Caenorhabditis elegans: one gene and its partner. The protein of the gene in region 1 interacts with the protein of each later gene in a pairwise test. Each region holds a gene or a part of one and is shown in the gene's direction. Other genes may lie near its edges.

Evidence for each region.
Region 2: the proteins of unc-115 (region 1) and rack-1 interact in a two-hybrid assay, tested with the Caenorhabditis elegans proteins (one study listed by BioGRID).

Annotation. Positions count from the first base shown.
Region 1 is NC_003284.9:10,145,681-10,152,788, forward strand, and holds unc-115 (Actin-binding lim zn-finger protein limatin involved in axon guidance), read left to right. Parts: upstream 1-1,811; coding exon 1,812-1,950; intron 1,951-2,968; exon of another isoform or gene 2,969-3,041; intron 3,042-3,200; coding exon 3,201-3,449; intron 3,450-3,518; coding exon 3,519-3,739; intron 3,740-4,069; coding exon 4,070-4,213; intron 4,214-4,353; coding exon 4,354-4,582; intron 4,583-4,627; coding exon 4,628-4,737; intron 4,738-4,799; exon of another isoform or gene 4,800-4,900; intron 4,901-5,038; coding exon 5,039-5,280; intron 5,281-5,331; coding exon 5,332-5,429; intron 5,430-5,551; coding exon 5,552-5,758; intron 5,759-6,103; coding exon 6,104-6,257; intron 6,258-6,309; coding exon 6,310-6,436; downstream 6,437-7,108.
Region 2 is NC_003282.8:10,175,064-10,178,634, forward strand, and holds rack-1 (Small ribosomal subunit protein RACK1), read left to right. Parts: upstream 1-1,616; 5' UTR 1,617-1,646; coding exon 1,647-1,761; intron 1,762-1,809; coding exon 1,810-1,993; intron 1,994-2,036; coding exon 2,037-2,184; intron 2,185-2,236; coding exon 2,237-2,767; 3' UTR 2,768-2,812; downstream 2,813-3,571. Other genes in the region: mspn-1 (Mitochondrial sorting homolog), read left to right, coding at 2,907-3,041, 3,085-3,205, 3,251-3,425, 3,480-3,571.

The DNA of each region.
Region 1 (7,108 bases):
AAGATGCTCCCAATTTGCATAATTATGTCAAGAAGGACACTCTCATCCATATCAATTCTCGCAACGGAACAGTGCGGAACAACAAACAGGTCACTTTCGAGTGAAATGTTTCCCGTTTCATTATACATTATCTGTCGCATTCTCATCTTTCCGCGTTTGTACACAAATTGGAACCGTGAGAAGTGCATGTAGTGAAGCATATCTAAACATTTACATGCCCTCTTCACTTCGAGAACAATGATGTGGAAAACATATCTTCAGAACAGAAAAAACATCATTTCAGAAAGTTGTATTCAGATTTCTAAGTGTTTTTTTTTGGCTCGCCATCTCGGGACCGGTTGATTAGCTAAGAGTGTGACATCTCTACAACTCGGCCGTCTGTTTTTGGCCAGATGCTCGCCGGAGGCAGGCACGACTGAAATATTGTCTCATTTCTACTTTTGCAATACATCGTCGAACGTGTCAGTTTTCAGTATAAAGGTTGGTTTTTTTTAACGTTGGAAGTTGAAGAATTAACTTCAGTTTCTGAATAAAACATTTAGTTCAGGACATGCTTGAAGCGTGGCGTGTACTAAACTAACATTCTATATAAACTCATTCAAAATAAAATACGTTTTTATAGAAGAGATTATAGTACATTGCAAACATTCGAAAACTGTATTTGTAATTTTTCCATCAATAAAACTGTAAATTAGTTACACTGTGAAAACAGTCCCACTTTTGACAGCAACTTTTGGACGTTCACATGCTTGAAATTATTCATGGTGTGCTTCCTAGTTCCTCGAAACCAATGCCCACTAAAGAAATGTTTTCTTACCCACTCAAAATAAACTCTTCTCATCAATCCTATCTAAATTGGAAGACATTGGGGTCCCGCAAAAAGTGATGTCCTCTCTTGTCCTCTTCTTCCCGGGTTTCCTCCTTCTTCGCATTTCCTTTTCCTCCGTCCAATGCTTTCCCTTGGCATTGGTGGTAGTGGTGGTGGTTCAGAGAGGAAGAAGAGTGAAGGCCGGAATGCATTTATTGTGAATTGGGAGTAGAAGAGAGAAAGAGAGAGGGAGCGTTGCGCGCAGCTGGGCCATTTATTGATCGCTGCTGCCGGGGGCCCCTATGTCTCTTCTGACGAATGGCGGCGGCGACGAGTGTTGTATGTGTGGATGTGTCTGCGTCTCTCGCCCTGCTCCTCTCGTCCCCCTCTCGCCTCATGCAGTAGTGCCGGGGTAGGCGGCGGACAGCTCTACTTTAGACCTCTCTCCGCTATTCTATACCACCACTATTCGCAAGCACTGCGCGTCGTCTCCACTTTGCCATGGGTTCGTTTTGGTTTTTTGTAGTGTTAACGATTCGAAATGTGATAAACATAAATATGATTGGGCTTCAATGTTTGTTTCTAGATGTATTAGATTGAGATATTAGCTTCATGCTAATATACCGGAAGTAATTTCTGGGCAGCAAAATCGACCTGCACCATGTCCATACTTTGACTATATTGTTATTTCTTCCGTTCTGCTTGTTTGTCAAAATAAGAGGTTTCTGGAAAAATTTCATAATAGTTGATTTTCAGTTTGGTACCGATGACTCAGAAAGAGTTACAATGAGACAAAGAAACAAACTGCAACAAAAGAGAGGGCAATGTCGCCCTCTTTTTATTCCTTTTTTCGCTACCAAGTTCTAGCTATTTTGCAACAAATTTTTCAATGCTTCCCGCAACAAATAAATCAAAAAGGGAAATTGAAGATTGACAGTCTTCTTGATTGATTTGATGGTAGATCTTCATTGAGATATTTGAGAAAAAAATAAACAAGCGGAGAATGAAATTCAGCAGACCTGTATTATCAGTAAACCATTTGATTTTAGGCAAAAAATGCGACGTATGTCGCAAAAAGTGCTCAGGAGACGTCTTAAAAGCGAATGACAAATACTTTCACATCAACTGCTTTCAGTGCAAAAGTGAGTTCAATCAAAACAATTTTTCCATGATAAAGATTAGATATCCAAAGTTATGTTTTCAATTTCCATGAAGTGCCGACATTTCGAAATGTTTGCTTTTTCTTGTGGAAGAGACGGGAAAATGTTTCAGTGTGTTTATTACATAATACAGCACGAGACTCTCGTTGTTATCTCACTTCTGTTTGAACAGGGCATAGCATCCATTACTACTTACACGAAAAAGAACGTTCCAAGCTAAACATTGATAAAAATCTAAGAAACATTGTCACAAAACCTAATAACCAAAAAAGTTCAACCTTTGAAAAAATTAAGGAACCTACTGTTTATGCTGTTTAGTGTTTCTTAGGTTAGATTTACCAATCAAGAAACAAACAAAATTAAATTGCGATTTTCGCTTTCAATTCAATTACACACATATTTTTCTTGGCCACTTTTGTTTCGGGGGACACTGGTCTTCTTTTTATGACCCCATTTACAAAAGTGTGTTTTCTGAGAACCACCGCCTTTGCAGAGAATCTTGTAATCCTCGAAAGTTAGGCTTCTCCATTGTTCATCCATCATAGATTGTTAAGAAGGATTAGTTGAAATGTGCAACTCTATGACACAAGAATTTCTGCGTCACCATTTTTGGAAAATGGTGCCTGTTCGATGGAGTGTGAAAATGAAAATTTTGAAGCGAAACGTTTTTGACATTTGAAATCTAACCTGACTTTATTGGTTTTTGTTTCAAGTTCTGTTCGAATTCCACCTGCAAAATGGCAAACACACTATTATCGCACTGTTTACCTAAAATCGATTCGTCGTTGCGTAAATATTTACCGGGCGCTAAAAGACAAATTTTGTTTCATGGCACACTCAACTTGAACTCTATGAGGTGTAACAAAAATGAAGAATTATTTCGGGTGATTGAGAATATGAAGAAATAATTATTATGATTTGGAATAGTCGATCACACGTGAACAATTTTGAATGTATAAAATATACCGTTCTGGAATAAATGCTCGTTAAATAAAAGTTTCGACCACGGCAGGATTCGAACCTACAATCTTCTGCTCCGTAGGCAGACGCGTTATCCATTGCGCCACGCGGCCAGATGGCTCTAATGTGTCCACTTCGTAAGACAAGCAGATGTCAGGCGGTATTGTGAATTAATGAGTGTGAATTGAAAGGGGTGACGGTGACGTTACGGTTCGCCTCTGTGGCATTTTGAAAACTTTTTTTCGAGGTTTATTAAAATCTATTATTTTCAGAATGTGGTCGGAATCTAGGCGAGACGGGCTTCTACACAACACCAGAAAATGCGTATCTGTGTCCCGACGACTTTCGCGCCGTATCCAAAGAGATAACAGTGAAGACGACGACGCAACAAGCACACGCGTCTTCCTCAAGTGCGGCGACGCCCAAATCTCCGGAGAAATCAAATGGTACAACGGACGTGTCGTCGAGTGGAGCCGCTAATGCCACGCTGCAGCAAATCTCTCCGCTCGGATCACCAACAAGTAAGCAATGAGCTGTCGGAGTGGCAGTGAAATTTGAAACTTTCTTATGTATAACACTTAATATTGCAGCGTGTGCCGCCTGTGACCAAGCTTTACATTCGGGTCAAGTACTTCTCGCTCTCGGTCTTTCATGGCACGTGTACTGTTTCAAATGCAGCGAGTGCTCAGCAGTTCTCCATGGAGAGTACATGTCACATCACGGAAAACCATTGTGCCTTCGAGATTATAACGAGAAATTCGGTGTCAAATGTTACGAGTGTGAAAAGTTCATTGCTGGAAAAGTCTTACAGGTGGGTATTTGGTTGATAACAAAAAATAAAAGTAAAACCGAACAAAGTTGATTTGTGAACAAAACAATTTAGCACTACATTGTCTACGAAAAACCATAACAACATATATTTTCAGAAAAAAAGAAAGTATTTTAATCAATCTATTTATAAAAACCTTTTGGATCTTCCTGTTCCAAACTTTTGTTACTTTTGCAATCAAGGTTAAGTTGTACCCCTGCAAAACGTTGAGAAAAGTTTTTTTGTTAAAAAAAACACCAAGATCAAAACAAGTTGTCTATTCTTCTTTTGACCTTCCCAAAATATTCTATTCAGTCAATTTCTTTTATTTAGGCTGGCGGCTACAAATTCCATCCAACTTGTGCCCGCTGTTCACGATGTGGATCTCATTTTGGTGACGGTGAAGAGATGTATATGCAAGGAGACGAGATCTGGCATCCATCCTGTGAGCACGCGCGGACCACCGAAAATATCGCGGTATGCAATTTCATTTTTCATTTTGTTTTTCCAAAGTATCCGATTTCATCACATTGAAAGTCAAGATGATGATGATGCTTTCTCAAAGCATTCGAATAAATTCTTAATTACATTATACTTTAAAAAAAATCAATTTTTAGCCAACTGGACGTGCTGCCACATTGTCTCGAAATGAGCCAAAATATCAATCAACGTTTGGACAGCATCAAGCATACATGTACTTGTTGCCAGAGGTGGAACAAACCTACTTGAGACATCCAGTGATGAACGCCAAGGAGCCAAATGCTCCACAATACCACGTTCCACAAGGACCAATCAAGATTCGCAAGTCAAGGATGTCGATGCTCAAAACTGGAATGCAAAGACTTAGTGAGTCCACATACCCGTTTATTAGACAAAATATTTTATTTTCAGCGGAGGATTTGGAAAAGAACATCCCACGTCCAAAATCTCCACACATGGACAATGAGGAGCCAATTGAATTAGCTCACTATCCAGCTGCACATGTGCCCGATCCAGACACGGTATGTACTGCAAAACAAAAATACGTTAAAACTTGAAAGATATTTGAAACTAAACAATATAAACTTACCGTTTTTTAGTCATTCAAGAGCTAAGTAAATGTTTGTGAATTTCAATTATAATCACTAAATTGTAGACGCCAAATCAAAGTATTAAGCATCCTTTTTTCAGACTGTGCAGAATAAAAATTAAAAAAAAATGTTTAAACTTAAGAAGAAATGTTTAAATGTGGGAAAAATACATATTCCCGTTGAAACAAAACTCAATTTCAAAACTTTAATTACGCAGGAAATATATTTTCAGCTTCCTGCTATCGAGCGAGAGGATTTCCCTGCTCCACAATTCCCGTATGCCGTCGAAGAACTCAAAAGAAGACTCTCAACATCATCGGTTGAAAATGAGATTTCCGACGATGAATACTCGGAGAGCGACAAGGTTGACGAGGACAAGTTGAGAAAGACTGTTGAAACTTTGGAGAAGTATAATGATTCTTCCATTGCTCACGTCATCAGGCAAAACATCGAAGACAGTCATAAGAAGCAAAGGTATTATATTTTATTGCATATTTTATCATATAATTACTAATTACGTTGCAGGCTGCCACTTCATTGGGATCCAAGAAACGCAAGCAGAACCCCATCTGGCAAGAAAATGCCACATCTCAAATTCCGTTACGACGTCCCAATCAATGCTTGTATGTTTTTGTGCGCTTTCCTAATTGAATCAGTAGCTGGCTATAGAGCACAACACATACTCCTTTCGTGCGCCTTTTCTTCTTCTCAAGTGCAAACTCATTGCCCTTTTTCATTTTTTCAGCGCCATCTCGTCATCTCAATCGTCCGCGTCCATGGGTTGTTTGGCAAGGAGGCGAGAGAGACCAGGGAAACAATACACTGCCGTGCTTCCACATTCCAGAGGATAGCCGGGCGAATACACTCAGAGCCGCCACACTTCCGACGGAATTCGGACAAAACTTGTCGCTTGAGAACTTGGACACCACAATTAGCAGCCACTATTCTGAACGTATGTGAAAGTTTCATGGGAAAATTTGGAAAACAGAAGTTGGAAGTGAAGAAAATAGTTTTAAAACAGTAAAATGAAAAATGGACTCTCTTGCAAAACATTTTTGCAATATTTGAAAAAGGAACGATTTTTGATCTAAAAAACACTGTTTGTTGGTCACTCAAACATGAATTATTAAAATATTGAAATCAGATAACCTTGATAATGTATCGTAAAAATTCAAAATTCTTACTCTGTTATTAATTTTTCTCAAATTAAGAGAATAACGTTTAGACTTCTTTAAACAGTATTTCAAGAACTTTTAAACTGCCGTAGTTGTCACAATAATTGCTTTAATTTTTTCAGACTCGACGACGGAATCTGGAACAGCTGGAGGACCTCGCTCAGCTGGTGGAGCTGTGCTTCGCTCTTCTCTTCCTGACATGAGCAAACCTGCCAAGCAGTACGACCTGCTGTTTCTCCAAACGACAAATTCGGACCTCCCAGAAGATGTTGACAGGTGAGTAATGAAAAAATAAGTTAGCATTCAACTGACATTTCCTTTTTTGTAGACAACATTTGGAACGACACTTGCCGCGAGATCAATTTGAGGAGATCTTCAAGATGTCCTTAATTGAATTTTATAAGCTGCCCGAATGGAAGAGGATCAATTTGAAGCGAAAACACAAACTATTCTAACATCCTCGTTTTAGCTGTCGTCGTCTTTCCCTCACCCTCACCAAATCATCTTGTTGCCTGTGTCTTAAACAAAACGTTAGGTCGAATTTGTTTTCTTTTCTCCACGCGTAACTTTTTCAAATACTCTTTTTTTTGGTCCAATCTATTCTCATCCCAAAGTTGCTCCTGTTCTGCGCATAATTTCGGCAGTCAGTGCATTCGTGTTTTCGGAAAATTTGCATTCATTTCTTCCTACTTTCTCTTTATGTATTGATTCTGAGGCACTTTACTACTCTGTTATGTTTTCTGATTTTTATGCCAAAATATTGACCCAAACTTCTCAAAAATATCTTTCGGGATATAGCTTGTCAGCTTTTATTGCCGCTTTCAACTAGTGTTTTTCATTCAAAATTTGTAATTTCTTAATCAACTTTAAAAGTAACTTTAATTTGTCTTCTACGCGGAATCTCGGTTTTTTTCTCTTCTTACAGTTTTTCTCACAAAAGATTGCATTTTGCATGCGTGCTTTCTTCTATATGAATTGGTGTTCAACGTTTAATTGTCATTACATTTTTATATTATTCTAAATTCCCCTCACATTAATAAGCTTTTTTTAAATTGCTTAGATTATTCATAGCTTTTTTAAACAAAAAATGCTCATTTTTATTTTAAAATCAAAGTGTATACCGCCAG
Region 2 (3,571 bases), on another chromosome or scaffold:
ATGATGTCGTCGTGTGCCGATAACAACGTCTAATCTCTATTACTATCAGAGGTTGATTATAAACAATCAGGGGCACTAGACACAGGAAAGAAAAGGATGCAAAAGTTGTGAAGAAGGGAATCAAAGTCTGAGGGGGGGGGGGGCGATTAAACGGGCGGATAGTGAATGCGGCGGCCGCACACACACATAGGGACGGGCATTTGGAGGAATGTGACTAGGAACAACACAGAGGCGAAGAGGACAAGAAATAAATCGGACAGTCTGTGTAGAGGCAAGAAATTGGAGGAGGAAAAGGCGAGGGACGGTGCGGAAAAGCACCGCCAAACCACTGCGAACCGATCAATAATACAACGGAAGGTGCTGCGAAGAAATAAGAGAGGAACGGAAAGTTGAGACGCAGGTTGATTGGGTTAAAGATTGCACTGATTGCAGAGAAGACAGAGAATCGAGTGAAGATTGGCTCAGGAAAGAGTTGATTGTTGACATTCCCATTGGAAAAAAACAGATATCGAAAAAATGTCTAGGAGCAAAAAAATATTTTTCATTATGGGAATTGTTGTGATGTTATTGCTATTGCAAGGTTCTGTTGTTGTATTGAAAGTCAGCTAAAAAATGGGGAATTATTGAAAATATATTGTATTCAAAAATTCTTCAAAATAAAAATGACTTTTTTGAATGAAAAAAAAACTTTAAAATAGTGATGTTGGCATATCAACGTAAAATTTAAGATGAGAAGGTATTAAACATTATAAGGAAACAACTCGAAGATTTTCAAGCACATACCAAAGTTTTCACGGACAATTGGCCAATTTCTACAAGAAGTCAACATTTTTGTCGCTTCGTCAATTTGAAACCCATAAAAGCATGACTAAGCTGACAGGAATTCCACGAAAAAGCAATAGATATGCGCAAAGAACTAGTCTCGTCAGATTTTTCTGGCAATATCTCATGCAGTAATCTTAATATGTCTTGCACACATGCAACCCCGGATGCTGAAATGTTAAACTTTAAAATTCGAGCTCGACACGATGAATTTGAATGGATGGAGAATAATTAGAACTAAACCCACATTACATTGATTTTAATGTAAAAACTAAAGTATTTTTGCTTTTAAATGAGAAAATAATAATTTTTCGAAGAAATCAAACCAGTTTTCAGAAATATTAATTTTAAGGCTCAAATAAATGGCTCGCTAAACTCGAAAACAACTGTCACAATAAAAGCTAAACATAAATAATTGAATAAATAAATAAGTAAATTTAAAAAAGTGTCAAAAACTGCTTCATAGATGCAAATTTACAAGAAAAAGTTAATTTGTTCCGTAAATTCGTTAGTTGGCAAAGTGCCAGGTTAAAGGCGCATAGACTTTCGCTGTGGGGTCTCGCAGCGACTCACCCCTTCTCCTCTGCTGCTGGCTGGCTAGTTTGACGCGAATTTTTAGGACGATTTTTCCTTTTTTCTGTATTTTTCTGTTAAAGCAATGATTTTTTCAACATTTTCAACATTTAATAATTAAAGTGGCTATGTTTTTAACATAATTCGAACAAAATTATGGTTTTCGTTCGCTCTATTCTCCAAAATTTTCATTTTTTTATATGGAACATTTTTATTTTTAGCAGATCGAACGGGGTTACACAGATAGCAAAATGGTCCAAGAGCAAATGAAGCTTACCGGAACCCTCGAGGGTCACACCGGATGGGTTACCCAAATCGCCACCTACACCCGCAACGACAAGACCACTGTCCTGTCATCTTCCCGCGGTAAGTCAATTAATATAACGTTTTCAAATTTATACTCACATTTTTCAGACAAGACTATCCTTGTTTGGGATGTCGACAGCGTTGCTCCAGTCGATGAGGGACCAATCGGTCGCCCAGTTCGTTCGCTCACTGGACATAACCACTTCGTCTCTGACGTTGTCATCTCCTCCGACGGACAATTCGCTCTTTCTGGATCCTGGGACAAGACCCTCCGCCTCTGGGACCTCAACCAGTAAGTAATTCAATAAAAAAACATTGTGCAAACAATTTTATAGGGGAGTGAGCACCCGTCAATTCATCTCCCACACCAAGGATGTTCTCTCTGTTGCCTTCTCTGCTGACAACAGACAAATCGTCTCTGGATCCCGCGACAAGTCCATCAAGCTGTGGAACACTCTTGCCCAGTGCAAGTACACCATCACTGTACGTTTTTTCAAATTCTTTTATAGGAAGATTTATCGAAACTATTGTTTAGGATGATTGCCACACCGATTGGGTTTCCACCGTTCGTTTCTCTCCATCGAACCGCGATCCAGTGATCGTCTCCGCAGGATGGGACAAGGTTGTCAAGGTCTGGAACCTCGGAAACTGCCGTCTGAAGACCAACCACATCGGTCACACCGGATACGTCAACACCGTTACCGTCTCTCCAGATGGTTCCCTCTGTGCTTCCGGAGGCAAAGACGGACAAGCTATGCTTTGGGACCTCAACGAGGGCAAGCACTTGTACACCCTTCCAGGAAACGACGTCATCAACGCCATGTCCTTCTCTCCAAACAGATACTGGCTCTGCGCCGCTGTCGGATCTTCCATCAAGATCTGGGATCTCGAGGACAAGAAGGAGATCGAGGAGCTCAAGCCAGAAATCGCCAGCTCTGGAAGCTCAAGAGGATCCAGCCCACAGTGTATCTCTTTGGCCTGGTCTCAAGACGGACAAACCCTCTTCGCCGGATACACCGATAACATCATCCGAGTGTACCAGGTGTCGATCCGTGCTTCCAACTAATTTGTTACCTGTTAATTCAAAACCCTTCAATAAAATTGTTGATATAATTTTGTATTCAACCATGTCAGATAAATTATTCGCGTTAATCAAGAATATCTAGCAGATGATAAAACAGCAAGGTATACTTGTTATGTTAGAGATGACGGATCGTAATGAGTTGATCGGTGTTGCAATTCGAGTAGTGGCGGCGGCTGCAGTTTCATTTCTATCAGTGCGCTATCTAGTCAAGTACTTGGATCCAAATTATAGTGTGAATGAAGAAAGCAAAAAGAAGGTTTGTAGATTTACAACACTAATTTTGTTTTTTTAATATACAGGTGGCACAGCTGTTTCATGAACTTGGTATCGATCGTCAAATAGAACTCTCAGAGCACGAAATTAGAATCGCCACGCAGTTTGTTGGCGGAGAAGACGTTGGAGCAGATTGGGATGAGATCGGTAGAACAGAAAATTGTTTCGCAAAAAAAAAGAAAAATTTTACAGGTGGCTGCGAAGAACTTGTTGCTGAACTAAAGGATCGCATTATTTTACCCTTGAGATTCGCATCGCAAAGTGGAAGTCATTTATTGTCTCCTCCACGTGGAATTCTTCTTTATGGACCACCCGGATGTGGAAAAACTCTTTTAGCGAAAGCAGTTGCAAGGGCAGCTGGATGCCGGTTAGTTATTCATAAATGCAGAATTGACCTGTTTTAAATATTGCTACCTTTCAGATTTATCAATCTTCAAGTGTCAAACCTAACTGATAAATGGTACGGAGAGTCTCAAAAACTTGCGGCCGCTGTTTTCTCTGTTGCTCAAAAGT